7 linked regions of the Canis lupus familiaris genome follow. The protein of the gene in region 4 binds, or shares a complex with, the protein of the main gene of each other region. Links are inferred from orthologs where the notes say so. Each region holds a gene or a part of one and is shown on either strand. Other genes may lie near its edges. The genes, in order: DHX16, CRNKL1, RBM48, SF3B2, G-patch domain and KOW motifs-containing protein-like, SNRNP200 and CWC15.

What was found.
Region 1: SF3B2 (region 4) and DHX16 share a complex: the UniProt entries of both Homo sapiens proteins name them as parts of the minor spliceosome. The link is inferred for Canis lupus familiaris from reciprocal best matches to the Homo sapiens genes SF3B2 and DHX16.
Region 2: SF3B2 (region 4) and CRNKL1 share a complex: the UniProt entries of both Homo sapiens proteins name them as parts of the minor spliceosome. The link is inferred for Canis lupus familiaris from reciprocal best matches to the Homo sapiens genes SF3B2 and CRNKL1.
Region 3: SF3B2 (region 4) and RBM48 share a complex: the UniProt entries of both Homo sapiens proteins name them as parts of the minor spliceosome. The link is inferred for Canis lupus familiaris from reciprocal best matches to the Homo sapiens genes SF3B2 and RBM48.
Region 5: SF3B2 (region 4) and G-patch domain and KOW motifs-containing protein-like share a complex: the UniProt entries of both Homo sapiens proteins name them as parts of the minor spliceosome. The link is inferred for Canis lupus familiaris from reciprocal best matches to the Homo sapiens genes SF3B2 and GPKOW.
Region 6: SF3B2 (region 4) and SNRNP200 share a complex: the UniProt entries of both Homo sapiens proteins name them as parts of the minor spliceosome. The link is inferred for Canis lupus familiaris from reciprocal best matches to the Homo sapiens genes SF3B2 and SNRNP200.
Region 7: SF3B2 (region 4) and CWC15 share a complex: the UniProt entries of both Homo sapiens proteins name them as parts of the minor spliceosome. The link is inferred for Canis lupus familiaris from reciprocal best matches to the Homo sapiens genes SF3B2 and CWC15.

What each region holds. Positions count from the first base shown.
Region 1 is NC_049233.1:613,631-618,165, forward strand, and holds the start of DHX16 (pre-mRNA-splicing factor ATP-dependent RNA helicase DHX16), read right to left. Parts: upstream 2,992-4,535; 5' UTR 2,781-2,991; coding exon 2,574-2,780; intron 913-2,573; coding exon 668-912; intron 572-667; coding exon 412-571; intron 105-411; coding exon 48-104; intron 1-47. UniProt on the Homo sapiens protein: Required for pre-mRNA splicing as a component of the spliceosome. Contributes to pre-mRNA splicing after spliceosome formation and prior to the first transesterification reaction.
Region 2 is NC_049245.1:3,685,904-3,689,923, reverse strand, and holds part of CRNKL1 (crooked neck-like protein 1), read right to left. Parts: intron 2,816-4,020; coding exon 2,637-2,815; intron 1,591-2,636; exon of another isoform or gene 1,528-1,590; coding exon 1,357-1,527; exon of another isoform or gene 1,069-1,356; intron 794-1,068; exon of another isoform or gene 757-793; intron 405-756; coding exon 213-404; intron 1-212. UniProt on the Homo sapiens protein: Involved in pre-mRNA splicing process. As a component of the minor spliceosome, involved in the splicing of U12-type introns in pre-mRNAs.
Region 3 is NC_049235.1:18,074,721-18,077,622, forward strand, and holds the end of RBM48 (RNA-binding protein 48), read left to right. Parts: coding exon 1-427; intron 428-1,778; coding exon 1,779-1,865; 3' UTR 1,866-2,093; downstream 2,094-2,902. UniProt on the Homo sapiens protein: As a component of the minor spliceosome, involved in the splicing of U12-type introns in pre-mRNAs.
Region 4 is NC_049239.1:51,712,021-51,716,578, forward strand, and holds the start of SF3B2 (splicing factor 3B subunit 2), read right to left. Parts: upstream 2,981-4,558; 5' UTR 2,935-2,980; coding exon 2,802-2,934; intron 2,623-2,801; coding exon 2,576-2,622; intron 2,299-2,575; coding exon 2,221-2,298; intron 1,495-2,220; coding exon 1,246-1,494; intron 1,030-1,245; coding exon 979-1,029; intron 1-978. UniProt on the Homo sapiens protein: Component of the 17S U2 SnRNP complex of the spliceosome, a large ribonucleoprotein complex that removes introns from transcribed pre-mRNAs.
Region 5 is NC_049260.1:42,454,938-42,458,957, forward strand, and holds part of G-patch domain and KOW motifs-containing protein-like, read right to left. Parts: coding exon 3,949-4,020; intron 2,793-3,948; coding exon 2,579-2,792; intron 2,150-2,578; coding exon 2,017-2,149; intron 1,375-2,016; coding exon 1,248-1,374; intron 1,044-1,247; coding exon 920-1,043; intron 829-919; coding exon 759-828; intron 1-758. UniProt on the Homo sapiens protein: RNA-binding protein involved in pre-mRNA splicing. As a component of the minor spliceosome, involved in the splicing of U12-type introns in pre-mRNAs.
Region 6 is NC_049238.1:34,661,768-34,665,787, forward strand, and holds part of SNRNP200 (U5 small nuclear ribonucleoprotein 200 kDa helicase), read left to right. Parts: intron 1-370; coding exon 371-564; intron 565-1,120; coding exon 1,121-1,244; intron 1,245-2,478; coding exon 2,479-2,628; intron 2,629-2,869; coding exon 2,870-2,980; intron 2,981-3,730; coding exon 3,731-3,862; intron 3,863-4,020. UniProt on the Homo sapiens protein: Catalyzes the ATP-dependent unwinding of U4/U6 RNA duplices, an essential step in the assembly of a catalytically active spliceosome. Plays a role in pre-mRNA splicing as a core component of precatalytic, catalytic and postcatalytic spliceosomal complexes.
Region 7 is NC_049242.1:6,114,717-6,119,399, forward strand, and holds the start of CWC15 (spliceosome-associated protein CWC15 homolog), read left to right. Parts: upstream 1-1,739; 5' UTR 1,740-1,870; exon of another isoform or gene 1,871-1,953; intron 1,954-2,068; exon of another isoform or gene 2,069-2,185; intron 2,186-3,316; exon of another isoform or gene 3,317-3,329; 5' UTR 3,330-3,337; coding exon 3,338-3,468; intron 3,469-4,025; coding exon 4,026-4,138; intron 4,139-4,683. UniProt on the Homo sapiens protein: Involved in pre-mRNA splicing as component of the spliceosome. Component of the PRP19-CDC5L complex that forms an integral part of the spliceosome and is required for activating pre-mRNA splicing.

The sequences.
Region 1 (4,535 bases), on a different chromosome or scaffold from region 4:
TTTTCCTTTTGCCCTCTGATGTTGGCTCCCTGGGCGCTGGGACTCACCATGGCTTTCCGGTCTTCCTCAGCCATCTTGAGGCGCTTCTGAGCCTCTTCATAAGCCTAGAAGAATCCAAGGGTGCAGGGCTATGAGGCCAAAATCTCCCACAGCCACTCCCTCTCTAGAATCACAAGGATCATTTGGATATACTATAGCATACAGAAATGTCCCTTCTCAGGGGGGAATCTCTAGGCCTACAGGTTGAGCAGAGGATCAGCAGACCCTTCTGGGTCCTCTTACTACAGAGATGAACACCTCCAGAGGCCACCCTGGTCTTCCCAGAGAGCCCTATCTCTGCAATCACACCCAACCTCAGATCTGACCCAGGGATCTTCTTGGGGATTTACAGAACATGCTGCTCCTATGCACCTTCTTGTCTGACCGCTCCAGGACATTGCGAGTCCGATCCTTGTCTCGCTGCCGAACCCGCTCAGCAAAGGCATCACGTTCCTCCAGGTCCTGAAGGCGCTCTCGCTCGGTCCGCTCCCACTCATCCTCAGATTCCGGCTTCTCAGTCTGTTGACTCCCCCTGCAAACCAGTCCAAAGGATTACATAAGGTCTCCTAGGAAGCTTACTGCCCCCTTATCCCCTGCCTCACCCTCTCTCACTCTGCTTCTAACTTACCCTGTCTTTCTTCTCCCTTTCTCGGAAATCTCTTCCTCCTCTTCTTCCTCCTCCTGACATTTCTTCCTGAGGTGTTTCCGTTTTCTACGCTTCTTCTGGAGACTGCTCCCAGTTCTACCTACGGTCTCCTCACTACTCTCCTCACTGTCTTCCAGCAACTTATAGGATCGGTTCTTTTCCAGCAGGGCTTGGGCCTCTCGCTCGGCCGCCCGAGCTGGCTTTTCTACCACCGCCTTCCGTGGTACCTATCAGTAGAAGGGAAGATAATGGGATGTGAGCAACTCCTGATTTTTACCCATCTACTTTGCCCCATTCTGAAATTTAAAGAATGGCGTGATTTTTTTTTTTTAAGATTTTATTTTTTTATTCACGAGAGACACAGAGAGAGAGGCAGACAAACAGGCAGGGGGAGACGCAGGCTCCATGCAGGGAGCCCAACGTGGGACTCGATCCTGGGTCTCCAGGATCATGCCCTGGGCCGAAGGAGGCACTAAACTGCTGAGCCACCCGGGCTGCCTGGAATGGCCTGATCTTAAACTAACCTTCATTGTCTCTTTTCCTCATGGCTTCACACCATGTTCATCAGCCTGAACTGGGCCTTTCAGCTTCTGAACCTCCTTGCAGTCATTCATTTAACAAACATTTATTGAAGCCTGTCTGATGCACCAGGTACTTGCTAGGGATCAAGGACACAGGAATAAATACAAGACAAAAATTCCTGCCTGGGTGGCTCAGCGGTTGAGGGTCTGCATTCCGCCCAGGGCGTGATCCTGGAGTCCTGGGACTGAGTCCCACATTGAGCTCCCTGCATGGTGCTTGCTTCTCCCTCTGCCTCTCTCTGTGTCTCTCATTAATAAATAAATAAAATCCTTAAAAATAAATAAATAAAAATTCCTGCCCTCATGGAGTTTATCTTACATTCTTTTTTTTTTTTCTTTTTTTTTAAGGTGTCCCATGCAGGGAGCCTGATGTGGGACTCGATCCTGGGACTTCAGGATCACGCCCTGGGACAAAGGCAAGTCCCTACATTCTCAAAACCAATTCTCAATTGCTCAGACTCTGTTCTTCCCCACAATTAAGTCATCACGATGCAAGGACTGACATGCTACAAGGATTGGTTTACAGAGGCCTGTCATATGTTTGGCACCGTACCAGATTCCAGGGATACATGCTACACGGATTTACATAAAGTCCCTATCCTCATATCACTTAGATTCTAAATTCATCTTTCACCAGGAACCATATGTGACAACTCAAGCAGGCTACCTGCCATTCTAGGAACACGTTGAACACTTTCACTCTTCGATATACTTACTAAGCACCTGTTCTGTAAGGTGTTGTCAGGTGGAAGAAATACAAAGACAAGCAATACACAGTCCTGTCCTCCAGGAATTCACTTTTACACCTTTACTCCTTCCCCCTTCTCTATCTATCAGACAGATTCCGGGGAATCTTTGGGCCTGCTTTCCCCTGATCACTACCCTTACCTTTTGTGCCCTACCACAGCACTTCTCACACATTTCTTCTATAGCCTTGCTACTCAAAATGCTGTCCGTGGACCATCAGCTTCACCTGAAAACTAGCTAGAAATGCAAAAACTAAGATCCCACCCCAAACCTATCGAATCTGGATCCACATTAAAACAAGGGCCTATTAAAGTTCGTGAAACACTGCTCTACAGCACCTAACGGTCCTTGAACTTCTCCCCAGAGCTGCACGTCCAGCACCTAGTACAGTACCCAGGCGACAACGGATAAAAGCTAGGTGCTGGTGTAACCGAGCTTACTTAATTCCCCCAAGGACAGTTAGCCTAGCCTCACCTGGATAGACAACCTGGGGCCCCGCCCCCGCTCCACCTGCTCTCCCGCCGCGCCCACGCCGGGCCCCGCCCCGCCCCTGCAGACACCTTGGTCCAGAGTCTCAAGGCGAAGTCGCGAGCCGGTCCGCTGAGGTCCAGAGTATCGGTGTCTCGCAGGCGCTGTACGAAGTCCTCGGCCGAGGCGCATCGCTGCGCGGTACCGATCAAAAACTGGGCTACGTGCCGCTCGCTCAGCCCCAGCACCGAGTGCAGCTCGTCCTGCACCCAGCGCTCCAGCCCAGCCGGCGTCGCCATGGTGACCCACGCTGCCCGGTTCCTGGCCCTGAACTATGTCGAGTAAACACGCTGGCGGCTGGGCTCGTCGGAGGCCTGCAGGCCTGGAGCCCTGGACTGGAGTCCCAGCTCCGCAAAGGACCTGCCTTTGACCCTTGGGTCTCGGTTTCCCACAGCCCCAAACCGTCTTCTCGGACCGCAGAAGCCGGAAACGACTAGTCGTTTCCGGCCAGTCGTTTCCGGCCTGTGCACTACGGCGGCCGAGCGAAGTCAAACCTCGCGGAACCGCCGAACGGGTGAGACGTTTCGTTTCCGTTTCCACCAAGTCTTTCTGTCGCCCTCTGATGGTCAGTCTGTGGATACCTCGCTCACGCATTCATTCAACAAATGCTGTGTGCTAAGCAGTTTTAGTTGCTGGGGATGTGGCAAATTATCAGACAAAAATCCCTTACTGAAGGAGGGGGAGGCAAGGTAGATAATAAATAAAGTATGGGGCCAAAAATAATGCAAGATTTGTGTGTGGTTTGGGGAGGTTCTATTTCAAATTGAAAGGCTAGGTCCCTGCTGATGAAAATTAGCCCATGCTGATTAGGAGTGACGTTTGCTCGTGCCAGTACCTGTGGCAAGAACGAATACACGTTAGACACAAGCGAGGACCTCCAAGCAGCAAGAAACAGCTTTAAAAACCTCCAATCTGGGATCCCTGGGTGGCGCAGCGGTTTGGCGCCTGCCTTTGGCCCGGGGCGCGATCCTGGAGACCCGGGATCGAATCCCACGTCGGGCTCCCGGTGCATGGAGCCTGCTTCTCCCTCTGCCTGTGTCTCTGCCTCTCTCTCTCTCTCTCTCTCTCTCTGACTATCATAAAAAAATAAAAAAAAAAAACCTCCGATCTCAGGAATGTGTAAACTGTGTTCTGCATTTTGTTAACAGCTTGAGAAATTCACTGGCGGTGCTTATTCAAAAATAAGCAGAGGAAAAAAACAAAAACAAACAAACAAACAAAAACAAAAATAAGCAGAGGAGCACCTGGGTGGCTCCGTGGTCGAGCGTCTGCCCTCCGCTGCCCTGGTGATGCCCTGGTGATGCCGGGTCCTGGAGGGAGCCCCCCCGCAGGCAGCCCGCTCTGCAGAGGGCCTGCTTCTCCCTCGGCCCTCACCGGCGCCTGCCCTCCCGCTCGCTCGCTCGCTCTCTCTCTTTTTTTAAAGATTTTTAGTTATTTATTCATGAGAGACAGAGAGAGGAGAGAGAGAGAGGCAGAGGGAGAAGCAGGCAGAGCTCCCTGCAGGGGGCCCGACGTGGGACTCGATCCGGGTCTCCAGGATCACGCCCTCGGCCGAAGGCGGCGCCAAACCGCTGCGCCACCGGGGGGCATGCCCAGCACTGGCTTCTTAGATGCATTGTTTTCTGTTTCTGAGATGGACTGTGGGCACCCCTGGCGTCTCAGAGCTTCCTGCCTCTGGTTTCCTGGGTCACAACTATTAGGGTCTTTATTTAATTAGCTACGAGTATAAGCATTGTTTCCCTCCATACTCTCTAAACTGGCTTATTGTTTTAACACCTTTGTTGTTCCTTTGCTAGTAAGTTAAAGACTTTGGTATTCGTTTTGGTATTCGTTTAAGGTCGGTTTGTCTTATTTTGTATTTAGTAAAAGGGGGTCTCCTCTGACTAAGCTGAGAAAATTCCTGTAGTGGTAGGACTATAACTACTCAAACATGTCTTTACTACCCTAGCAAACTGGAAAAAAAAAAAAAAAAAACCTGATAAGTAAACTATAGA
Region 2 (4,020 bases), on a different chromosome or scaffold from region 4:
AAATACAACAAAATACCTCACCTGGACCAATGACAGGTTTAAGAGTTTGCAAGGCTGCAGAGAGAGTATGTAACTGTATGGCCGAGAATCTAAAGCTAGATTCCTGTTTCAGGGATCGCACATGTCCATACCCACCGCTACCCAAAACAGCAGACTTATACCCGCAGAGGTGACGCAGCCATCAATAGCTGATGCGGAAGTCCACTTTTTACCTTGGCCTCCAATTCTTCATAGAGTGCATAGTTGACCCACAGATAGATGTAACGCTTCCAGTGCCGCTTCTCTTGAATGGGTGGCACATTGGCGATGGCTCTTTCATAGACTTCTCGAACGGTTTCTGCTTCTGCATCACTTTCCACCAAGCGCAAGTAATCAAACCATGCATCATAATTGTGTGGATTAGCCTAAAAGACCGTTTAAGTTTAATGAATAAAAATCAAACCAAGAGCTACACTCACTGGATTCTGTGAGGAAAAAGAACACCCTTGATTGACTGTATGTTAGCAACTGTTTTTCTAGATTTCACATACTAGCTCATTTAAAAATACTGTTCCTGAGATCCTATAAATAGAAAAGAAAAAGGAACATAGAGGACAGATTATTTGCCAGGTGTCCCACGGCAAGGCCGCTTTCATATACAACCACCACCCTCAAGATAGTTACTCAATAATCAGATGCCTAGTTTTATGAATGTATTTGTTTATATATGTGACTGCTTATCATTATGATGTCTAGATTTAAAATTACAGTGCAATCAGAACCATGGCCACAAATGTGAAATCTGCCTTCTCCAGTAAGTCATTTATCTTGAATATATCTTACTGACCTCATTTAACACAGGACCCAGTCCTTTGTTTGGCAATATCCTAATTAATTTGACTTAGCAAAAGCTTTAAGATACACAGCAGATTAGTGAAACACTATTGCCTTTGAATCTGAAACAAAATAGTACATCACAGATAGAGAAGAGAACCATATCTACAGTACATCTTTTGTTCAAGCAGTTAAGCTAAAAGGTAGTGCACAAAGGCTATTTGGCTCAATCTCTGACTCGTCCATCTTTTTCAGAAATGAGTTCAAATGGATTCCCAGTATTTGCTCAAGTTCTACGGTACACAATCAGCAAGCAGCAAAGTGACTTTCAACATGTTGGTGGCAGAGCAAACCCAAGCGCTGCTTGCTGGCCTTTTCTATGAGCCCTGCTGATTCCTGTTGCAGTGGCTGCCAATTACTGCAGACGTATCAGCAAGAGCATGATCCCTGGGAGTCCTTGCTTGCTATTCTTCCCTTCACTGTAGCTGCTATTGGTCAGCATGTTTGTTACCTACAGGGGTCAGCGTCCGCATCAGCACTCACCTTCACTTCTTCCTCATACTGGAATCTTCGTTTGCTCACAATGATGTCTTCAATACCCCGCCTATCACCGAACTTCTTCTCAAAGATGGTATAGTTTTTAAAGAGTTCTTGGGCCTCCTGCTTTGAAATTCTATCCAGGGCATACTTGTAGATCACTCGTACCCTTTCAAACTAAAAGCAGATAGGAGGATTACTTCTCAACACAATATTCTCACCCTAGCAACAACTTGGAAGGTAATTATGACATAATATATTACCTGTAAGATTGTGTGGTTTCAAAATGTCCTAAAAAAGACTTTTTTCTCCCTCCTGTTGAGGTATTTGTTGGGGCACACCAATATTCTTCTTTGAGCTCCACGCCTAATACTGTCTACCTAACACTGCCAGTTGGGTATCGTCTGTGCATCTAGGACTAAAAAGGTCCCAAACTGACCTCCTTTTTCTCACCATCAAACCTGGGTCTCTCTGTCTTCCCAGTCTTTGTAAGCAATACCTACAGTCATGCACTTGCTCGAGCCCCAAACCCCAAGAGTCCTCCTTGACTCTTTTCCTGTCCTCATTCCCCACATGCACTACCTCAAAGAGCCCTGCCACCTCTACCTTTTCAACATGGCTCTTTGTACCCCCCCCACCCCCAAACCATCTCCATTTCTTCCGCAACCACTTCAAAAGTCCCTTTACTTCCATTTTCACCATCGTTTTCCCCAATACAGTCTACATGGATTAGCTAGAGGCCTTCCTTAGAATATAAATCACATCCTACCACTCTTATGCTTCAAACCCTTCATAATTCCCACTGGCCTGACCCTGTATTTGGACCTTAGCCCATCTCTCTCGATCCTGTAGTATCTGAGTTACTTTAAGGGATTATTTCCATATATATTATGGAAGATCAGAACCGATTTATTTGTGGGGAAACCTCTGTTTTCATTCAAATTCTGTTCTCTGTTCTAAAGGTTTCTGTTCTCCAGGTTTATTACCTGTAAAGCCCTTTTATGAGGAGAGCAAATGATGAACTTTCAGTTTACATACAATATTCTCATCATAGATATGAAAGCTGAATTTTCAAAAAGGACAATACAATTAGGACACTTTAGTACAATGTGTAAATTGCTCAGTTTCCAATCTGCAGCTAAGCCACATGTGTGCTGTTCTCTGAGAGATTCTGGAAACATTTTTTCCAAGGATAAGTGAATAAGAAAATGGAATGAACTCCATGTGCACAAGTATTCTTTCCTAAACTGTTCTGCAATATAACTGAGCTCTTCAAGTGTACTTACTTCTTTCTGATTTTCTTCAAATTTGGCAAAGGCAACATAAAGGTGTTCATCCATATGTTCATCTCCAAAGAATTCAACAGCTCTCTCATACACTTTCCGTGCATGGGCAAAATAACCATGTTTTTCTTCAAAGCGAGCATACTTGATCCAGTTCTTAACATCAGGGTGCACGAGAACAAGTTCAGGGGAATTAAGGAAATACCATGTAAGACAACAAGGCTTTAAAAAAACAAAAAAACAAAAACAAACCCAAACCCAAACCCAAACCCCCAACAATACAAACTATAGGGTTTGATAAAACATTTGCAAAGGTGAAGAACCGGTAATCTGTAACCTCTGGCAGGGGGTTGTGTCTGGTTCATCTGTCTTCCTCCAGTGCTTATTCAGTATTTCTGTAGTGGGTACAAATGGGAGTTTTGAGAAATGAAAAAGCTGAGGTCTGTTATAAACCATGCCATCCTAGACAATTCATTTAACTTGCCTAAGACTCGGTTCTCTGTAAATAGAGAAAAATAATACTAACCCAACTCAGTGGTATTATTTATTTATTTTTAAAGATTTCTTATTTATTTATTCATGAGAGAAAGAGAGGGGGGGGGGGCAGAGACACAGGCAGAGGGAGAAGCAGGCTCCATGCAGGGAGCCCGACATGGGACTCGATCCTGGTTCTCCAGGATCACACCCTGGGCTGAAGGCAGCACTAAACCACTGAGCCACCCAGGATGCCCCAACTCAGTGGCTTTAAAGGAGGAAATGTGTGTAAAATCCCTTGCAGCTTGGGGCCAAAAGAATGTGTCCACTCAACAAATGGCACCTACTCTATTACATGCTCAATAACATTAATATTTCAATTAATGACTAAGAAAAAAATCTCACAAAAACAAAACTGCTAAGTATTGGCAAAGAGAAGAATTTTTTAGGTTTTTCTCTTTTCTTATTGAAATATGGTTGACATACAAAAGAAAGTTTTGAATTATTTTATATCTTAATAGATTAAATCGATTTTCATCTACTTCGCTTAAGGAAATCATTAATTCCATAGTAATACGTTCAAATATGGCAACGAAGTTAACAGCTGGGTTCAAAGCCCATTTCCATTACTACCTGAGAGACCCTGGCCATGCTGCTTATTGCGCTCGTGCCTGCATTTACCATCCTGCAGACTGGATTAGCTCCTGCACTGCAGGACTGCCTAGGGATTAAGTGATGGTATCTGTAAAGTGCTTACAACAATGCCTGGCACATTAGCAAGTACTATAGAAGCTTCTGTTAAATTAATCATATTAAAATGGGCAGAAGTAATGGAGACCTTAAAATTGCATAGTAAAGTTGATTGTTGTTTTTCCTGGTAGCTTTGTTCTATTAAGTCACTTAAATAGCAAAT
Region 3 (2,902 bases), on a different chromosome or scaffold from region 4:
TTCTTGTGAATTGCCTTTATGTTATTTTTCCTCAAAATGTACATGTTCGTCAGGGGAACATATGGGTAAAGCATCCAACTTCTCTCAGGACAGTAGAAACCATGCTAAAACAATGGAGCATTGTATGCACAATGACTCTTTGCAGAAGATACAAATGAAACCTTTAAAAAATTCATTGGCCTTCCCTGGTGCACAAAAGGCTATTACTTCTTCAGAGGCAGTTGAGAGATTTATGCCTAGGACAACACAACTGCAGGAGCGGAAAAGAAGAAGAGAAGATGATCGTAAAATTGGAACTTTTCTTGAAACAAGCACAAGTAGTAATGAGGTTATGATTGGGCCTCTGTTACCAGACATACCTAAAGTGGACATGCATGACGACTCATTGAATACCACAGCAAATTTAATTCGGAATAAACTTCAAGAGGTAAGATCATTTTTAAAAAACTATTTTAAGAGACCATCTGGTCATAGGACTAACAGCTAAATCGAGATTTGTGGCAGCTAAAGTATTGTCATTAATTTTTTTCATTTTCAGTTTTTTTTTTATGTGTTTTTCTACAGTTCTGTTGAATTAACTGAATTTGACTTAACAGAAATGTATGTGCTTTGATGTCATTAATCCTTGCTTTAAACAATGTATTTCATATCATTCTAGCTCTAAACTATAAAAGCAGTGGTTTCAGTCAGTGAGGTTGGTCTGTGAGAATTGAGCCCAGGCCCTCCCTTTTTAAAGCTCCCTGGTTGGTTCTATTATGAGCCAAAGTACAGAACTGTTGTGTTGAAGGAAAATTACTACAACTTATTTCTTTAAAGTTATTACAAAATTACATTAAATTAAAATGCTTTTTTCTTCTTTGATAAAGATAGCCATAGAAAAAGATGAGATTTCTAAAGACTAGCCACTACGGTCTGCATTTCAAAATGTCAGCTCCTTAAATAGAATACAGCTCGATTGTACTACTTAAGTAGTAATTTCTTTACATATTATTTATGTAATCATTTTACATTTTCCAAGCACCAATAAAAGAAAGCTAACATTTGAATTAGCTTTTGAAAGATACCTTTTTTATGGGGCAAACCTCGTAGAAATCAAGCTGAGGAAGAAAGACCATTCTCTTAAACTTTAATCTGAGGTTCAGAGAGTGCTTTTTGTGTAATTGTATGTATATTTTACAGAGTGATTAAGGGAGTCTGAGGTGGCTTAGTTTATGTGTATTTTTTTTTTTACCTGAAAATTACTATCTCATTAAGGATGAGCTCCTATTTTATAATAACAAAAATCTATAAACGCAGTTTCCATGCTTAAGCCTCTTTTTAAAATTTTTAGTTTGTGCTGGCCCCCTTCCTTCAAATACAGCTGAGCTGAGGCATAGATAGAGATGCATAGCGCTCTCAGCCAGAGCAGACTGTATTTTCAAGAAAAAAAGTTGTTAGGTTCAATTCCTAAAAAGGAAACAGCAGAACAACAAAAATGAGAAATGCTTAAACACAACTTACTACAGATGCTAATAATAAAGGATTATTATAGAAGAGTACATATTTATTTTTCTCCCTTCAAATTTTTTTTCTTGTTAAATGGCTTTAGAAATTTTACTCCCATCAGTGTTTGGACAGAAAACTTTGCTCTGTAGGCTATACCCTGAAATTGGACTCACTCTGCCTCCAATGTGATGGCAAGATTTGAACTACTAGATGTAGATCCTACCTCTTCTATTAGTTTATTTATTCCTGTGCTATAAGGAATAAATGTTGGTGGTTCTCTTTTTTTAAACTAGGTAATTTCATCTGTGCCAAAACCTCCAGAAGACAAGCTGGAAGATGTGCATTCAAGTCGTCCATTAAAACAAAGAAGAAGAATATAGATTGCCAGCAGCAAATTATGTTTCCTGAGGGACTATTTATTATTTTTAGCCTGTCATTTTAATTCTTGAAGAGGTTGTACTGCAGGAATTTTCTAATGCATTCCTCTTTGTAATATCATTCAACCTACTTATTTAATAAAATTTCATCTTTTAAAATTAGTTTATCATGGACAAAATACATGCCAGCCAAATATATTCCTTAATAAAAGAAAACAACTTTTCCAGTGATTCTGGTTACATCTTACTAGCTAGAACTGGGCTCATGGCTGTTCCTAACTGGGGAGGTCTGGCATGGTAAATAAATGTTTAGGTTTTCTTTTTTCTTTTTTCTTTTTTCTTTTTTTTTTAAGGTTTTCAACTTCTGTGGTTGAGGAAGCAAGAGAAAAGGGGGTTATGAAAGGCTTATTCACAGGATTTGCCTTAAGATCTAAGCCTTGTTGGCTAACTTAAAAAGTAAAATTAGTTTATCATTACTTATAGGTGTTATTTTGATCATACTTAATATTACAGAAACTGTTCTTATTCTCACATTGCAGTAATTATAGGTAAATGAAGTGAAGCAAAGATAAAAACTTTAGAATGCAAGTAAAGATAGGCAGTCAGGATCTGCTTCTGATTTTAATACAAGTATTGAGTAATTCACATTCAAAAACTAGAAGTCAGGATGTGTCTGAATGCCAGGGCTTCAAAATCAATACAATTCTGTAAAGTAAAAAAAGGTAAACTATTAGAACAAACTATTAGAAAATGCTAACCACTACCCTTAGCATACCCACATTGTTTTTCCTGTCAGGGAACCACATAATTGGAATTTGGAATAATTATGTTCACTCTTTCCCTTTTTTTTTTTTTTTTTAAGTGATAAAAATAACTTGAGAGAGCCCATATCAAATGGTGGTCTGTTCTTTTTTCTCTATACCTTGCCTAATGAATTGATTTTGAATATACCAGTTAAGAAAGTTCATCAGTTATGACCTACTGATTGAAACTTGCTGGGATGGCTCCAAGTGGTAGATGGTATTTAAAGAAGTTTTAGG
Region 4 (4,558 bases):
ATCCAAATGGAAGTGGCCTCTATCACAAAAGAAAACCCCTGCAAATAACACGCAAAAAAAAAAAAAAAAAAAAAAAAAACCTGGGAAACTCGTGGTTTCTAACGGAGAATTTAACATTTAACTACACACAGCCTTCTATTTTTTTAACAAGAGCTTTTCCCCCAAGAGATTAAGTTATGTCTAAGGAACAATGAATTCTTTTATCTGCTCCTTAAGATCTAACACATTCTAGGGATCCCTGGGTGGCGCAGCGGTTTGGCACCTGCCTTTGGCCCAGGGCGCGATCCTGGAGACCCAGGATCGAATCCCATGTCGGGCTCCCAGTGCATGGAGCCTGCTTCTCCCTCTGCCTGTGTCTCTGCCTCTCTCTCTGTGTGTGACTATCATAACTAAATTAAAAAAAAAAAAATTAAAAAAAAAAAAGATCTAACACATTCTAGGCAAAATCAGCACTTCATAATTTCATATCTATTCCTGTTAATGCTTACTTTCAATATCTCCAGTAATGCAGCAGGGAACAACTGATAGAGTGCACCTCTGGGACTGCATGTCTCATGTATTATTCTCTAACTACCTCTATCACATTTAGTCTAAATCCCACACAATTGACTAATCCAGAGTCCTCTCATAGGTATCTAAAATCATATAAGACTAATACGAATTATCAGACTTTTTCAGTAATGGGCTAAACAACAGATATCTTAGACTTTATGGGCCATTGCAAGGGTTGCAGTATGTTCTTGGTTTGCCAATTTTTTTTTTCCTAACAATCCTCCAAAGTTAGAAACACCATTCTTAACTTGCAGGCCATACAAAATCAGGTCACAGTCTGTAGTTTACCAATCTGGGCTCCAGAAAAGATGGGATTATCTGGGAGATACTGGAACTTAAGGATGAGGTAACCTCCATGGAAAACTTGAATGGAGCATCTTGTTTTGGACACTAGTACTAGAAGTGACAGCCAATGGAGGGAATTACCCGCTTCTGCTGCTCCAAAAGCTCATGTTCCTTCAGTGAATGATCTCCCTGCTTAAAAAAGAAAACAAACTCACATCAGCACCACTACCCCTCAGGCCAGGCTGCCACAACACTGCTTCTGGGGGTCCTCTTTCAGCCTGGGGTCTATGTTCCAGTCGTTGGTCCAGACTTCCCAGAAGGCTTGGCCCCAGGATCCAGCTTTCTCTAAGGCTTCAATCCTCTTTAGGACCCTGATGAGACCTATGCCCAACCTGCCACCTCCCCTACCTGTTTGGCACGCTCCTCTTGCTGCATCAGCAATGCTGCCTGTTGCTGCGCCAGCTTCAGCCGCTCCTCCTCTGACAGAGCCACAGGCTCACCCACGCGGAGAGGAGGAGGTGGCCCCAAGTTTGGTGGGCGGGGACCAACTGCCATAGGAAAGCCAAGGCCAAGGCCTGGTGGAGGTGGTGGGGGTGGTGGAGGTGGTTGCAGAGGGGGGAGTCCCATGGGTGGTGGTGGCATGGGAATCCCAGAAAGCTGTGGAAAAAAAGTCAACATACACTAGGAACCGTTTATCTACTGCAGACATTTGCAGGTACTATGAGCCAGGTACTAAAATTCAAAGTCAAGTGACAATTCCTGCATTCAAAAAAATATAATACCGATAGAAGAGAATACTAACTTTGGGGTACCAACCAAGGAAAGCTATTGACTCTCTCCCCAGAAAACCATGAACACAGATTGTGCATACAATTTCAGGAAATCCAAGGACACCTCTAATGGCCACCTGGGAACTCCTCCTCCCACCCACAGAAGTCAATAGATCCCAGATCAGAGTCTTGTCCTAGAGAAAAATTCAAATCCTGGCTCAGAAAGGAAATGGAAGTTAAGAAGACTTAAATAAACTGGAGCCAGTGTGTCCCAATGGCTCACTAAATATAAAAGGTATGAAATAAAATAAGAGAGTGAGCCATAATGTCTCACTGAACAAAATGAGAACTGTGCCTGGTAAGGCAAAAAAGAGCTATTTCCAGCTGAAGGAGAATCAAGTCAGGCTTCTAAATTACTTAAGCTAAACCTTAAATGACAGGTAGTATTTGGAGAAGCAGACACTGGGTAAGGAGGTAAGGATCAGGACTAAAGGGGAACTGAAGAGCTCCCATTTCTCCCTGTCCAATCTGTTAGTGGCATCCCCAAAACACTGACTGTGAGAGGAGCTGCCCTGAACAGAAGTCATCTTATAAAGTAGAACCACCTCCTTACCTGTGCGGACATGGGAGGGGGAGCAGCTTTGTCCCCATCTTCACCTCTCAGAACTGGGCGATTCAGCACGATGCCTGTCTGCAAAAGAGAAAGGACTCCAGGTCAGTCCAAGAGGAGCTGTTCCACAAAACGTCATTGCTCCCATTCATTCAACAAAATTTACCAACTGCCCATTTGCCAGAGCTTGCGCTAGGCACTGCAGAAGACCTATATATACAGAAATGTTTACAACTGGTCAGGTAATGTAAAAAAACAAGCAGAAACAGCAAGGTACATAAAAAGCTAAGACCGAGTCCTGAGGGCTCATTGAGGCCTTCAGAAACTCGGCCTATCCTGACGTCCCGCCAACACTTACCTGGCGCGTGTAGGTCTGCAGCCGCTCCACCAGCTCCTCGCGACTCCCTGATGGGCAAAGCACAAGATCAACGGGGTAAGTCAGGCCGAGCAGGCCTGCGGGACCAAGCCAGGCCCCAGCGGTCCGCCTCCGCCCCTCCCTCCGCCCCCCGGGTCTCCGGGGTAACCAGGCTCCGCTTCTCCCTGGGCCTACGCTGCCCCGGCCCTTGACCTCCCGAGCTCCTCACCCTGGATCGGAGCTCCAATCTCCGCCAATTTGGCCTGAAGCTCCTGGGCAGCCCAAGCGCCATAGTGACCGGGAGGTGGCGGCGGCGGCAGCTGCAACTCTCCTTTGGGAGGCTCGGGATGCTCGGCCGCCATCTTAGCCGCAGGAAGGCGCGCGACCAACGCGGAAGTCCGGACCGGACCTGGGGCCCACTTGCCGGAACTTCCGGCAGCGCCGTACGCCACGTCCGCTGGAGGATTGGCAGGCGGTTCACATTGCGGCCCAGACCCTGCGGATCTCCAAGCGTCCCCAGGATGCCAGGCCGCGAAGCCTTCTGGGAGTTGTAGTACGCAGGTCCCGTTCTCTGCGGGTCCGGCTCCCGGAGCACAGTGCCGGGCTGAAGCACCGGCAACACTGGAGGCTGGAGCAGGGGCGGGGCTGCGGGGCAAGATGGTCCCGCCAGAAAGGCGTCCTTTCTGCGTCTGCCTCGCCGGAGCGCAGATCTCCAGCCTTCCGACCAGACTTTCAGCTCAGGCGTGAGAGGCCCGGACGCTTTCGTTCCTCAGGGAGGCCTGAAGGACTCATTCTGCCAGCGGCCGCGCGTTGTGGGCGCCAAGCGGGAGGTTGCAGCCGATGCCTGTGATAAAACAGTATCTGATTGTCTGCCCGCCCACCCCCGGCCCACGCATGGATGAATGGGCTGAAAGAGGATCGGAGCCAGGAGGGGAGCGGGCTGAGCTCCAGCTGCCGACCTGGGGGGAAGGGCCACACTAAAGCCCCTTTTTCCACCTATCAGGCCGGCTCAGATGTCTCCGCTAGCCTTTCTCCCGCTTTCCTTTCCTTCCTTGGAGTTCCCGTAACACGTACAAACATCTACCATTTGTTTTAAACTCTTTCTTGCCCCTTTGCCCCACCTCCCCAAGAACGTGCACAGGGGACCTGGTCTTTTTACTGTCCGGCAGCACCTGGCGTTCAAGAGGCGCTCAGTAATGATTAATGGGGAAAACAAACGAAACGATCTTTCGGGCGACAGGATGCATCTTTTTTAGTCCCAAAAATGAGCTCAGGACTTTTTCTCCCCTTATCCCCACCAGCCTACTGGCAGAGTCGACGCTGCCTTCCTTGCCCCAACAGCACCAGCAGCACCAGCAACCGCCTGTGCACCTGAGGGAGGGATGAGCAGATGTTCCCTGCTTGTGTAGCTTCCATCTCTCTCTATCCTGACCCATCAATTCAGTTTCTCTTCCCATCTCTGCCACTAGCTCTGAGATCCTCTTCCCATTCTAGCCCTGTCCTCTCACTGGCAGGCTCATTGCCTCTGTGTGTGTGTGTGTGTGTGTGTGTGTGTGTGTGTTGAGTGAGAGCTGGGAAATTCAAGTAAAGTGGTCTCATTTTCCTGACACCCACACACACACACACACACCCTTCATATCTTCTTTCTAGCATGCTCCATTTCACTGACTGCCTTCCAAAGAGAAGTAGCTGAGAGCACGGGAAAAATAATGGGATGCCAGGTCCAGGATAGATATGTTTATGAGAAACAAAAACAGACTGGGCCAGGAAGGTTGCTCACATCATAATCCTAAATAGGAAATTCTTTCCTCTTGCCCAAGCCTGCTTCCTCTTTCCATCACCACCACCATCTGAGTCTCCTGACACTCCCAAAGGAGAAGCCAAACCCAGAAAGAACAGAAGAAATCGCAATGATGCCCTCCCTTCCAGCTTGTCAGCACACTCAGGAAGAACCATTCCTGACCCAAAGGAAGCATTTTTCTGCTC
Region 5 (4,020 bases), on a different chromosome or scaffold from region 4:
CATGGCCAGGGCCAGCCCACCCAGGTCCTGTCAGAAAGCCTTTCCTGTATGCCTCAGAGCCATCCTGCACCCTGTTGACAGGTGGGAGTCCCCCTGCCCCACTCCAGCTCACAGGTGAGGACACCTAAGGAGCAGTTCCTAGAAATAACTATAATAGGGCACCAGGTGGCTTAGTCAGTTAAGCGTCTGCCTTAGGCTCAGGTCATGATCCCAGGGTCCTGGGATCAAGTCCCACATCAGGCTCCCTGTTTGGCAGGGAGTCTGGTTCTCCCTCTCCCTGCCACTCCCCGGGCTTGTGTGTATGCTCTCTCTCTGTCAAATAAATAAATAAAATCTTGGGAAAAAAAAGAAGAAAGAACTATGAAAAAAGGAGCACTTATGCACGAAAATGATGGGTGATGACAACAGATACCGTTTATTGTGTGCACGTCATATGCCCTGCCCTGCACGGGGAGTTCAGTACACATCTGTACAAGGCCCAGTCCCCAGAGGGAGAAATAGCTCATTTCTATGCCAGTGTGCACAGGGGGAAAGAGCAGCTTAGATAATCACCATCACAGGGGGAAAGAGCAGCTTAGATAATCACCATCACAGAAGTGCCTCGTATTCTGTCAAAAGATTCTGGGCTGTGCAAAATGCCTGAACTCTGCCTAACCTTCCAGCCTTTGCCTGCACCAGCCTCTTGGGTCGAAGACAGCCTTCCTATTCAGCCTCTAGGATGGATGATTAAAACCCCAGTGGCCATCCCTCAGACTCACCTTCCAGAATCCGGCCTTCATCTGTTCGACACACACAGGTATCTGGGCTGAGGACATCTTCAATGGTCATCTGGAGAAAGGGTCACGGGATGTGAGAGTGTTACAGTTATGGGGGCCTAGTTCCGGGGGGGTGGGGGAAAGCCAGGCTGCAGGGTTCCCACCTTGGTGTTGTAATACTGGCCACCTTTGTGCTGCCTGTCCACAAAGCGCACACGCAGGTCCCTGTGCAACCAGTGCTGGCTCTGGGGACCTGCCTTCTCATTCTTGGCTGCGGGCTCCCCCTGTCTGCGGAAAGGGCCAACACAGGCTTAGCTGATGAGACACGTTCTGGTCACCCCACAGTTGGCTGCTGTGAAACCCACCCCTGATGCCCTGATGTCATCCCTAGTTCCTTCTATGTGCCTGCCTTGCCCGGGAAGCCTTCTCTGACTGCTAGAATCCCTCCACAGCCTTGCCTTCTCCCCCAACCCCAGATGCCCAGGGTCCCACCGGTCGGGAAGGTGTTTCCGCTTCCTCTCTGAGTCCTCCCGCCAGCTGGGGAGGTCCTGATCCCGGAGGGCCTTCCATGATGAGGCTGTTCCATTCTGTTGCCCTGGGGAAGTTTTGTTCATCTGGCCTGTGCAAGGGTGTATGGGGAGAACCAGGAAGGAGCCTCAGTGTGAGCCTCTTACCTGGCAGGCTACACCTTGGCCTCAGGCCACCTCCCACCTGCCTCAATGTCCCCTCCCACCATCACAACTTTGCCTATGCCATCAGAATGCTCTCCCCTTCCCCTCAACTGCTGGGGCTTCCTTCAGGAAGGCTTCCTCAGCCACTCCAAGGTGGGCTAGGGAATCCTGAGAGCTCCATCAGCACCAATATCTCATCTGTCAAACCGCCCCATCCTGCTGCCATGCCTAGAATGCCTTTCTCCTTGGGCATGGCCTAGTCCCGGCTGCCCTCACACCCAGAAGAAGAGAGGCTCATCACCTAGAACAGACAGAGACCTCCTGAGGATAGGAATAGGTTTCCACACCTGTTTTTTCTCTGAGAGGCTAAAGCCCCAGGGTTACTAGATCAGTTTTTCTTCAAACCGAATAAACCACTGATCTTCATTCTCACCTCCTGGATTCTGACCAGAAGTCACATCTGCCTGACAGACCACTGCCCCTCCCCTCTGCAGATCTGACACCCACCCAGCCTCACCCCCAGGTACAGGCCCCTACTGCCCCCTGGAATGTTTCTCCAACTCTCCCAGCTAGGTAAGAGGCACACTCACTGAGATCCAAGGTGTTCTTGTCAAACTCATGCTGGGAGACAGGGCGCAGGCAGTACTCACTAACAGTAACCATGCGGTTCCCCACGGCCAGGCGAACCATGGCCCGAACATTGTCAGGATCGAGGCCTTCTACCTGAAGCGTTGGGGAGGACGAAGTTAGGCAGGGTCTGAGTGGACTAAACTCACATTCCTAGGACCGAACTGTCCAGTCTTACCTCCTATAAGCCTGACCCCTGTGTCTCCCCCACCAGACTGACCCAAGGCCTGGGCCTGGGCCTGGTTCATGTGTTTCCCCTACCAGACTGTGTGGCTTGGATATATTTTAAAGAACTTAAGCCTCAGGAACATTTGGCACATATGGCCATTCTCTCTTTTAGTTGTAAACTGAGACTCAGGCCCAGCAAGTGGTTCTGAGTTACCAAATGAGGTAGCAAGCCAGGCAGGCCTGAAAGACAAGGACTTCCAGCCTTTCCACCCTAAGCCCAATTCTTCCTCCCTCTGACCCTCACATCAAACTTCCCCGCTGCCTGTCTTGGGCTCTAGGCATAGCTTGGTTCCTTACCTTCCCATAGAGGCCTCGGTGAGGGCCAGAAAGAACCACCACAGCTCCTCCAGGCACCAGTCCTTGAGGCTGGTCTTCCTTAGCCTTCTCTTGCTCTTCATCTGGCTTTGGCAGGTGGTGGGGGCCAGTGGGGACTAGGGCCTGGACCTCATTCAGGTTGGCACCCAGCCCTAACCCCTTCGGCCTCAGTAAGTTGAGACGGGGCTTCACCACTCTGCAGGCAACACAGTATATGAGCTTATTGGGCTGGGGAGGGGAGGAATGCAAGTCTTCAGTGTCCCCTCACAGCCATCCAAATCCCACCCCATCAACATGCTCAAGAATATCCTTCCCGATCTCACATTAGGACTGTTTTTTTTTTTAAGATTTTATTTTATTCATGAGAGACACAGAGAGAGCAAGAGAGGCAGAGACACAGGCAGAGGGAGAAGCAGGCTCTATGCAAGGAGCCCGACGTGGGACTCGATCCTGGGTCTCCAGGATCACACCCCGGGCTGAAGGCGGCGCTAGAAACTACTGAGCCACCCAGGGATCCCAGGACTGTTTTTGATCTACAGAAAAGCAATTTCGTTTGGTCCAACCTAATAACACACTGGGTATACCATCTATTACATATTATTTACAGCAGGATCTGAGGCAGATCTCTGTGATTTTGATTATAATACCCTAATATTTCTACAGGGGAAATCATACAAATATTCACACCAAATAGGAGGAACAGACTATAAAATGCTCTGTGTCAATTCAGGTCATGTGTGGCTACTAAATGGTTTATGAAAAAATGTTTGAAAAAAAATATTTGGTTTTCAGAATTCTTTGGAGTTCAGAAAACTGAGAAGGGATCAAAAGTCTGTGTGATAATAGCAAATGTTTCATCTATGTTTATTTTGGGCCAGGGCCTGCTATAAGTGCTTTATGTACATAATTTCATGTAATTCTGCAACAGATATGGGAAGTCAGTATTGTCACTACCCTCATTTTTCAGATGAGGAAGCTAATGCTCAGAAAGGTAACCCCGTACAGAAGGGATCCCGTTACAGAGTTTCAAAAAGCAAACAGGAGGGATGCCTGTGTGGCTCAGCGGTTGAGCATCTGCCTTCAGCTCAGGGCGTGGTCCTGGGATCCAGGATTGAGTCCCGCATCGGGCTCCCTGCATGGAGCCTACTTCTGCTCCCTCTGCCTATGTCTCTGCTTCGTTCTCTGTGTCTCTCATGATTAAATAAATGAATCTTTAAAAACAAACAAACAAACAAAGAGCAAACAGGAGACTGAAACAGTTGCAGAAAGCTTCTGGTTCTGGATGAGCAGTAACCCACGGGGTCTTGTTCACTGCCCTGTCTGCTGCCCCTTGCCCCCACCCCAGAACTCACAGATTGAAGGTGCGGCCAATGCCCTCACCAGGCTTCCAGCCCATGCCTCGTAACATGGCCAGCCCATAGGCC
Region 6 (4,020 bases), on a different chromosome or scaffold from region 4:
AGCCTGATAAGGGACTTGATCCCAGGACCCTGGAATCATGACCCAAGCCAAAGGCAGATGCTCAGCCACTGAGCTACCCAAGAAATTTGTCTTTGAGTGAAGTGATGAACTCATTTACCTGAAGTATTAGATTTTCTTGCCATTAAGCATATGTTTCACTAAATTAGCAATGCAGCTCTCAGTGGTTACAGGAGAATATTTTCCAGGGTATTTCACAGTGAATGTTGTCCCACCCTTTGGGTTTCTCTTGCCTGCTCTTTTCTTCTTTATTTGGCATATGAGGTATATACCACAAAATGGGACTATTTTCAGGAAAGAGGACCACATTTTTCTAGTCCTGGAGATAATTTGTAGCCCCTTCATTACTTAGGATGAGATCCATCTCCTCCACGATGACAGAGGTCCTGTCTTAGAAGCTTTGGTGGCCAGGGCCATCCGAAACATTGAGATGACTCAGGAGGATGTCCGACTCATTGGTCTAAGTGCTACCCTCCCCAACTATGAAGACGTGGCTACCTTCCTGCGTGTGGATCCTGCCAAGGGCCTCTTTTACTTCGACAATAGGTATGAGAGAAGATGGGAGAAATTTAACCAGGGTGACCTTCCTGCTGCCCTATCCCCCTTTCAGGGAGCTTTGTTGGATTGGGTATTAGAAGGGTCTTTGGGTTTGGTTTCTTTCTTTCTTTCTTTCTTTTTTTATTTTTTCAAGTCCCATATTGGGCTCCCTGCGAGGAGCCTGCTTCTCCCTCTGCTTATGTCTCTGCCTCTCTCAGCCTATGTCTTTCATGAATAAATAAGATTTATTAAAGATTTCTTAAAAAAAAAAAGATTTTATTTACTCATGAGAGAGACAGAGAGAGAGAGAGGCAGAGACACAGGCAGAGGGAAAAGCAGGCTCCATGCAGGGAGCCCGATGTGGGACTTGATCCTGGGACTCCAGGATCATGCCTTGGGCCGAAGGCAGGTGCTAAACCACTGAGCCACACAGGTGTCCCGGTCTTTGAGTTTTGATGTGGTGTGAATCTAGAAAGGAATGTCGTTCCTGGGCAGCAAATATGACTGTTTATTTCCTCAGTATTCTGTGCTAGAAGCCTAATATGTTTAACTATTGAACTTCTAGCTTCCGCCCAGTGCCCCTGGAACAGACTTATGTGGGTATCACAGAGAAAAAAGCTATCAAGCGTTTCCAGATCATGAATGAAATAGTCTATGAGAAGATTATGGAACATGCTGGAAAAAATCAGGTCTGTCTGTGGTTTCTTGTTGAACTCTGTTCTTGACTTTTTGTAGTGTTTTGTTTTTAAAGATTTTATTTATTTATTCATGAGAGACAGAGACACAGGCAGAGGGAGAAGCAGGCTCCATGCAGGGAGCCTGATGTGGGTCTCGATCCCGGATCCTGGGATCACGCCTTGAGCCGAAGGCAGACGCTGAGCCACCCAGGTGTTCTTGACTTTTTGGTTTATAATCAGGCAATATCGACAAAAATAAAAAAGAGAGGATACAACACAGATCACCAGTATTAGGAATGAAATGGGATATTACAGTAGAATCTGTATCCAGGGGAAGGATAATAAAGGAATACTATGAAAAACTTCACACGTAAATTTGCCAACCTAGAAGAAGAAATGGGCCAGTTCCTCAAAAAGCACCATCTACTAAAACTCAGTCTAGATGAAATAGATAACCTGAATAGTCTCATAACCACTAAAGGAAATTGAATTTGTAATTTAAAAACTCCCAAAAATGAAATCCCCAGGTGCGGATAATCAGTCTGTCTCTCTACATTATCAGGGGTCCTTCTATAAAAGATTTGGGTGGTTGACACTAGAAATGTAACCTGTGAAAATACAAATAAAAACTAGTGAAAGAGGGCATTTTACTAGAAAATATGGTAACAATTTTTTACTCGAACACTGCTAAGTTCACCAAGACAAAAACTAAGGAAAAGTGAAAGGTGTATAGATTTTTGTCTGATAAAAAGCATTTGCATTTAAATAAAGAGACCAATCTTTTCTTGGCACTAAATACTTGAATGACTTTCCTACCAAATGGAGACTTACTTTCTCAGTCCTTTTATAAAGTCCAGTGCCCATCATTTAATACAATATTTCAGCTGTTAATTTACAGGCATATTCCTCAGGTGGCTTAGAATTGTGTCAGGTGCCTAAACACAAATTCGCAATGGAGATTCCTGAATTTGCATCCTTATTATATTTAAACTTGGTTTCAAAGGTAGAGTACTTAGAGCTTACTTTCCCAGCTATGGGACTCTGCCACTGTGCTTTGTAGTTTTACTTACATAAGGTCTTGCCGGCTTCTGAATCAATATACATTCCTGCCATTGCCCTTCTTCTAGACCTCGGTTTCTCACCATCCAGTAGTGTAGCCGCTGCTTCCTGTTATTGGTACCTCAGAGCCATGGAAGTGACTGTGGTAGCTGTGTCTCTTGACCGTGGCAAACTGGTTTTTCCTTAGGTGCTGGTTTTTGTCCACTCCCGGAAGGAGACTGGGAAGACGGCCAGGGCCATCCGTGACATGTGCCTGGAGAAGGACACTCTGGGTCTGTTCCTGAGAGAGGGCTCAGCCTCCACAGAAGTTCTTCGGACAGAAGCTGAGCAGTGCAAGGTGAGGAGCAACTGCCCCAGTTCTCTGTTAACTACCTGGTAGCTGGTTTAATCCAAGGTAGTCCATACAGTTCTCGACTGCATCATGATGGTACTGTATCAGACAGGTTAAGATTGAATGGCTAGGTGTGGTTATGTGGATTCGGTAAGGGGCAGGGTCTCATGTGAAGAGATCTACTTAGTCTCCATAGAGTTCCCACAGCGAAGCTCACCTAATCATCTGTTCTTTTTCTGTTCCACAGAACCTGGAGCTGAAGGATCTTCTGCCGTATGGCTTTGCTATTCATCATGCAGGCATGACCAGAGTTGACCGGACACTTGTAGAGGATCTTTTTGCTGATAAACACATTCAGGTGAGGGGGAGTAAAATGTAGGCTTTAGAAGACCTGCTTGTCAAATGCCAGATGTTTGTGCCCAGTACTTTGTTTGTGGCTCAGGGAAACCAGGTCATAAGGTTGTGGTAGTACAGTGGATACAATGTTGTGCCACGTCTTCCAGGTCTTTACCTACTGTGTGAAGGAAGGTGAGTGATTTGAGAAAAGTGTCTAAGCATAACAAAGGAGGCATGTTAGTGACTGCAGGTACCTCCAAGCAGGGCCTTGTAAGGTTGGGACCTTGTTTTCTGTCTCAGGATAGGGTATATTATTAATTGTCTAGTAATCTTAATGTTTAGGTTTACACTTTTGCCTTGCAAGTATCTCTAGAACCTTGAAATGTTCATTGTTGGGTAGATGAGGGGAACCCAAGGACTCTTTCCCTCTTTTTTTTTTTTTTAAGATTTTATTGATTTATTCATGAGAAATACACAGAGAGAGGCAGAGACGTAGGCAGTGGGAGAAGCAGGCTCCCTGTAGGGAGCTGGATGTGGGACTTGATCCCAGGACCCCAGGATCATGACCTGAGCCAAAGGCAGATGCTCAACCACTGAGCCACCCAGGTGTCCCGACTCTTTCCCTCTTTATTCTAGTGTTACCTTGACAAGTATGGAGCCTACCTCGGTCCTGCTAGAAGCTCTGAGGCCGGTTTCCTAGAGGACTTGAGGATACTAACCCTCTAGTGGTAACATATGTCTGTTTTCTTTATTACTTTTCTTGTTTCTGTAGGTTTTAGTTTCCACAGCAACACTGGCTTGGGGTGTGAATCTCCCTGCCCATACAGTCATCATCAAAGGCACCCAGGTGTACAGTCCAGAGAAGGGGCGCTGGACAGAGCTAGGGGCGCTGGACATTCTGCAGGTATAGAGCCTTTGAGGTTATTTTCAGTAAAGTATTCTGTATATAAAATGCAAGGAGGCCACAAAAGGTGGCACATGGAAGGTGGGGTTCTATGAAGTAGAGGCCTGGGAACAAATCCATAAACTCTGCGGCCACGGCCCTCTTGGTTTCCCATCTCT
Region 7 (4,683 bases), on a different chromosome or scaffold from region 4:
GAATTTAGCACCAAGAAAGGCTACAGATCTCTTTCCCTTAATGACTTTGCTGTGCTCCTTCTCAGACAAGAAACAAGGAGAGAAACAATAAATAGAATAACTTTGGTAGTATTCGGGACTACAAAAAAAATAAATAAATAAAGGAGGGCGACACGATGGTATTTGAATGTTGGGGGTGTGGGGAAGAAAATGAAGATGTCAGGGAAAGCCTCACTGATGCAGTGACATTTGAGCTGAGGCTTGAAGGAGGTTAACACGGTTATCTTGAGGCACAGGCAAGAGAAAACCCAGTGCAAAGGAAATCTTATCCTTTGTGAAACAGAAATGCCCTGTTGGCTGTGGCTGGAGTTCAATATGTAAAAGAACGTCTGATTAAAAGTGAAGTCAGGCAGATAGGCGGGAACCAGACCCCTTGGGTTCTCAGGTCACATTAAAGAATTTGACCTTTATTCTAAGTGCAGTGGGGTTTTTAGGCAGAAGAGTAACACTACCTGATCCATAACTTTCAAAGATCACTCTCACTGCTATCTGCAAAATTAACCGTATGTAGGGCCAGAGTGGAAGCAGGAAGGTCCATTAGGGAGCAATTATAATGCAGGTGAAAAATCCCAGTGGCTTGAACTAGGGTAGTGGCAGGGGAATGAAATTTTGGGTATCATACTTTAAAAGTAAAATGGACAAGTCTTGGAAATAAACTATATGTGAGGAGTCAAGTAAAAGGGATTTAATCAGGAGCCTTGAGGTTTTGGTTTAATAAGTGGTACCTGGCAGTGTCCTTTACTGAGACGTACAAAACTAGGGGAGAAACACCATCCCTAAGAGAAAAATTTTTTATCTTGACCTTCAGAAAGGAAGGGGCTGCTTCTACTTTTTAAAAGAATTTACAGGTTTCAAAGGAAGAGTTCTGGAAATAAAGCTTTTTAATGCTCGATTTTATGAGCTGTTTATATTTGACACCAAGTTGGAGATGCTGAATTTTCATCTGTCTAATATTTATTGAGCATCTACTGTGGCCAAAGACCATGTGATGAGATACCAAGATGGACTAAACAAACGAGCTCCCTGCTCCCAGTGCTTTTTGGAAAAGGGAGAACGGACGACTGGCGTTCGTTGTCTCATTAAAAGTTCCCCCAACGCCCGAGTAGCCATCTTCCAGGAACTGCATCTCGCGCTCCTGGCAGTTGGGCCCAGCGTTCCAAACGCTCATCATCGGGCTAATAAGTGAATCTCTAATAGTGACATCTCCCCTCCCGCTAGAACTCAGGCTTTTTTAAAAAAAAATGGAAATGTTAACAAACAATACGAATACAACCTTTGCCTTGAAGACTAGTATTTTTGCAGGAATGGTACCTTTATAAAGATCGTGGTTGCCCCCGTACATATTTGTTCTTTCTTCATATCCAATTAAATGAAAACACTAGTTTTTCCGCAGCCCACTCTAGGCTGGCTGGGTCTAGCTCAGGAGAGAGGAAGCCGGAGCCGTTGGCTTTAAACACTTGGGTGTAATCCTTCTCTACGCTCCCTCCCGCTAGCCGGGGACTCGCGGTCCGCTACCCGGGGCTTTCCGTCCACGCAGCGGCGGAACGAAGGAGGCTGGGAGGGGGTCGGGGAAGGGAAGGACGCGAGAGACATTAAGTAATTGGCTCTTGAAGGTATAAAACGATGTTTCGGGTCTACTCGAAAGCACGGATTTCAAACGCCCGCCCCCTGGGCCGTTTCGGCCCCGCCCCCCGCCGTCATCACGCCGACCTCCACCCCGCCTGCTGCCGATTGGTCTCCGCCTCGGCCTCGGAAGTGCGGCTGAAGAGCCGGGGTTTGCTTCCGGGTCGTGGGGCTCGGGCCCGGTCCTGGGCGCGGAGGCTGCTGGGAGGTGAGAGTCGTCATGGTGTCTGTGTGACTTGCGGAGGCTGTCGCGTTAGACCTTGGTCGACGTGTGCCGCGGGAGGGTAGCAGGTTGTCCGTCCCGCGCGGGTGGGGCGGGGAAGGCCGGCAGCGGCCGGAGTCGGCGGTAGCGGGCCGGGCGTGGGCGCAGGGGCCGCGGCGGGGGCGGGGGCGGGGGCGGGCGGCGGCCGCGGAGCGCGCAGCGTGAAGGCAGTAGGCGGGCGGCGGTAGCGGGGTCCACACCCCTTCCTCCCCCGAACCCCCTGCGAGTCGGGCCTCGGGGTGAAGAGCCAGCGAGCCTCTGGTAACAGCCCGAAGGCCAGCCCCCGGGAGGCGGGAGTGACCGAAATCCGGGAGTGTGCGGGCGGCGGCGGCGCCCCCAGCGGCAGGAAACCCGGGCTCTCTCGGCGCAGATCCCTTTTCCCTTTTTAAAAAATCGAGGGACGTACACTCAGTGCCCGCCTCCCCCACCCCGGTTCCCCGCACCTGGCTTTTCGGACGCTCGACGGGACTTGAGTAGCCACGTCTGCTAGGCACCCCTCTTGGCAGCCCCAAGCCAGAAGTAACGGAAGGGGTCCCCGAGTTTTGTTTATCGGAATCCTTTGGTGGTGACTTTCCTTTCATGAGCATCGTCACCTACAAAAATCTGCTTTGTATTCTAATCGTTGCTATAGAAGAAAGTTGGACCGACAAAAGGTTGTTGGAGAATCCTGCCCGTGTAACTGTCCTTAAAGTTTAGCCTACTTTACTCCAGGACACTCCGTAACCTTGTCGGTGATTTTAAAACAACCTGGTTTTGTAGTTAGTAGCCTGTTTTCTGTTGTATGAGGTTAAGTGCAAACCTTAGGGCATCTGGTGGACTAGGGTTAAGCTGAGAATTTTTTTTTTAAGATTTTATTTATTTATTCATGACAGAGAGAGAGAGACACAGAGGCAGACAGGCAGAGGGAGAAGCAGGCTCCATGGATCAGGCCCTGGGCGGAAGGCGGCACTAAACCACTGAGCCACCTGGGCTGCCCATAAAGCTGAGAATTTTTAAAACTCAGTGTTGGCAGTACTAAATTTTGCAAGGCTTTGACATTTCAATTCCTTTTTTTTTTTTTTTTTTGACATTTCAATTCTAATAATAACCCTGTGGGGGACATTGCCCATTCCTCAGAACTTGGAGCTGGATGACTTGCCCAGGGCCCCAGATACAGAAGGAGAACAGGAACACCAACTCCCATCTTCATGAGAGAATTTTTTGCCCTAAATAAGAGTTGCCTAAGAAGCTATATTCCTTATATACCCTGAGCTTCATTATGTGTTTTCTTGAGAACTTTTGTTTGAGATTATTAATTTTGGAGAATGAATTCTGGAAATTATTTCACAAGGATGAATATTATTAATATCTTATGAAATGAGAATATATCATATTGGAAATAACTTGATACAGTTTTTCTTTAAAGCATAAAAGATGACAACAGCAGCTAGGCCAACTTTTGAACCTGCAAGAGGTGGGAGAGGAAAAGGAGAAGGTGATTTGAGCCAACTCTCAAAGCAGTATTCAAGTAGAGACCTACCTTCTCATACAAAGATAAAATATAGGTAATGAAGACTTTTTATTTTCTTGTTCAGAAGACAAGACTAAATCTGTTAAATGGCATGCTCATGAGATTCTAGCGTGTTTGGGGTATATCACTAACCTATTTTCATAGGGATAGAATGCAATAGAGTGTTTAACATTAAAACTGTGCTCTGATTATTAAAACACTACCATGTACTACTTATGCAGAAATCCCTATTAATTGGGAATTTCCGTATGTAGATGGCTCAATAGCAGTGACCTCAGGGCCCATCCACTATCAGCACTACTCAGTGTGAGGTGAAAAGTGTCAGACTAATGAGCCCTGAATTGATGTACTAACAAAAAGTAAAGACATTTTAATTACTCCCCAGCCTTATGGGAAAATATGTGACTCAGTTTGGGCTTTCTGAAACGTTGGAAACATTACAAGAATGCCTGTTAGTGACCTTCAGATTAGGGTAATGATCTCATTTAGTTCCTTGAACTTGAGGACAAAGTGGCTTTTTGCGAACTGTCTTCCCCTGCTACAGCCATGTATCTTTTTAGTAATATTTTCACCAAATTGTTTCTGCTTTAGACAAACTACTCAGGATGCCCCTGAAGAGGTTCGCAACCGTGACTTCAGGAGGGAGCTGGAAGAGAGAGAGAGAGCTGCTGCAAGAGAAAAAAACAGAGACCGTCCAACAAGAGGTACCAACACTGCCCCCAGATATTTGTCATCATGAAATTATGTTGACAATGGTTTTTCTTTCATGGCTAATTGGAGCTGATTAATATTTTTTGTTTGCTTGCTTTAAAATGTTGGCGTAAACAATATAAAGTATTGTTTGCTTTAAGATTGGTAACACTTTCTTAAGTGATTAGATTAGAGTTGACTCCAGTTCCATCTCTTTGTGCTTCCTTAGCAGAAGGAACAGGATGATCTGGGGATATCTGGCAGTTCTTGTTTCAGTTTACGTAAAGGTTTTTGTCTTAAGATTTATTTGAGAGAGAGCACATGTGCATGAGCAGGGGGAAGGGCAGAGGGAGAGATAATCTCAAGCAGGTGGGCCTCAATCCCAGGACCCCAAGATCATGATCTGAGCCAAAATCAACAGTCAGATGCTCTACAGACTGAGCCACGTAGGCACTCCTAAAGGTTTTGACTGTTTACAGCAACGAGACTTTTTAAGGCTTCGTGTTTTCTCTATGTGAGGGTCTCCTGTTTTTGTCACTGGGTTTTGGAAGGCATCTAG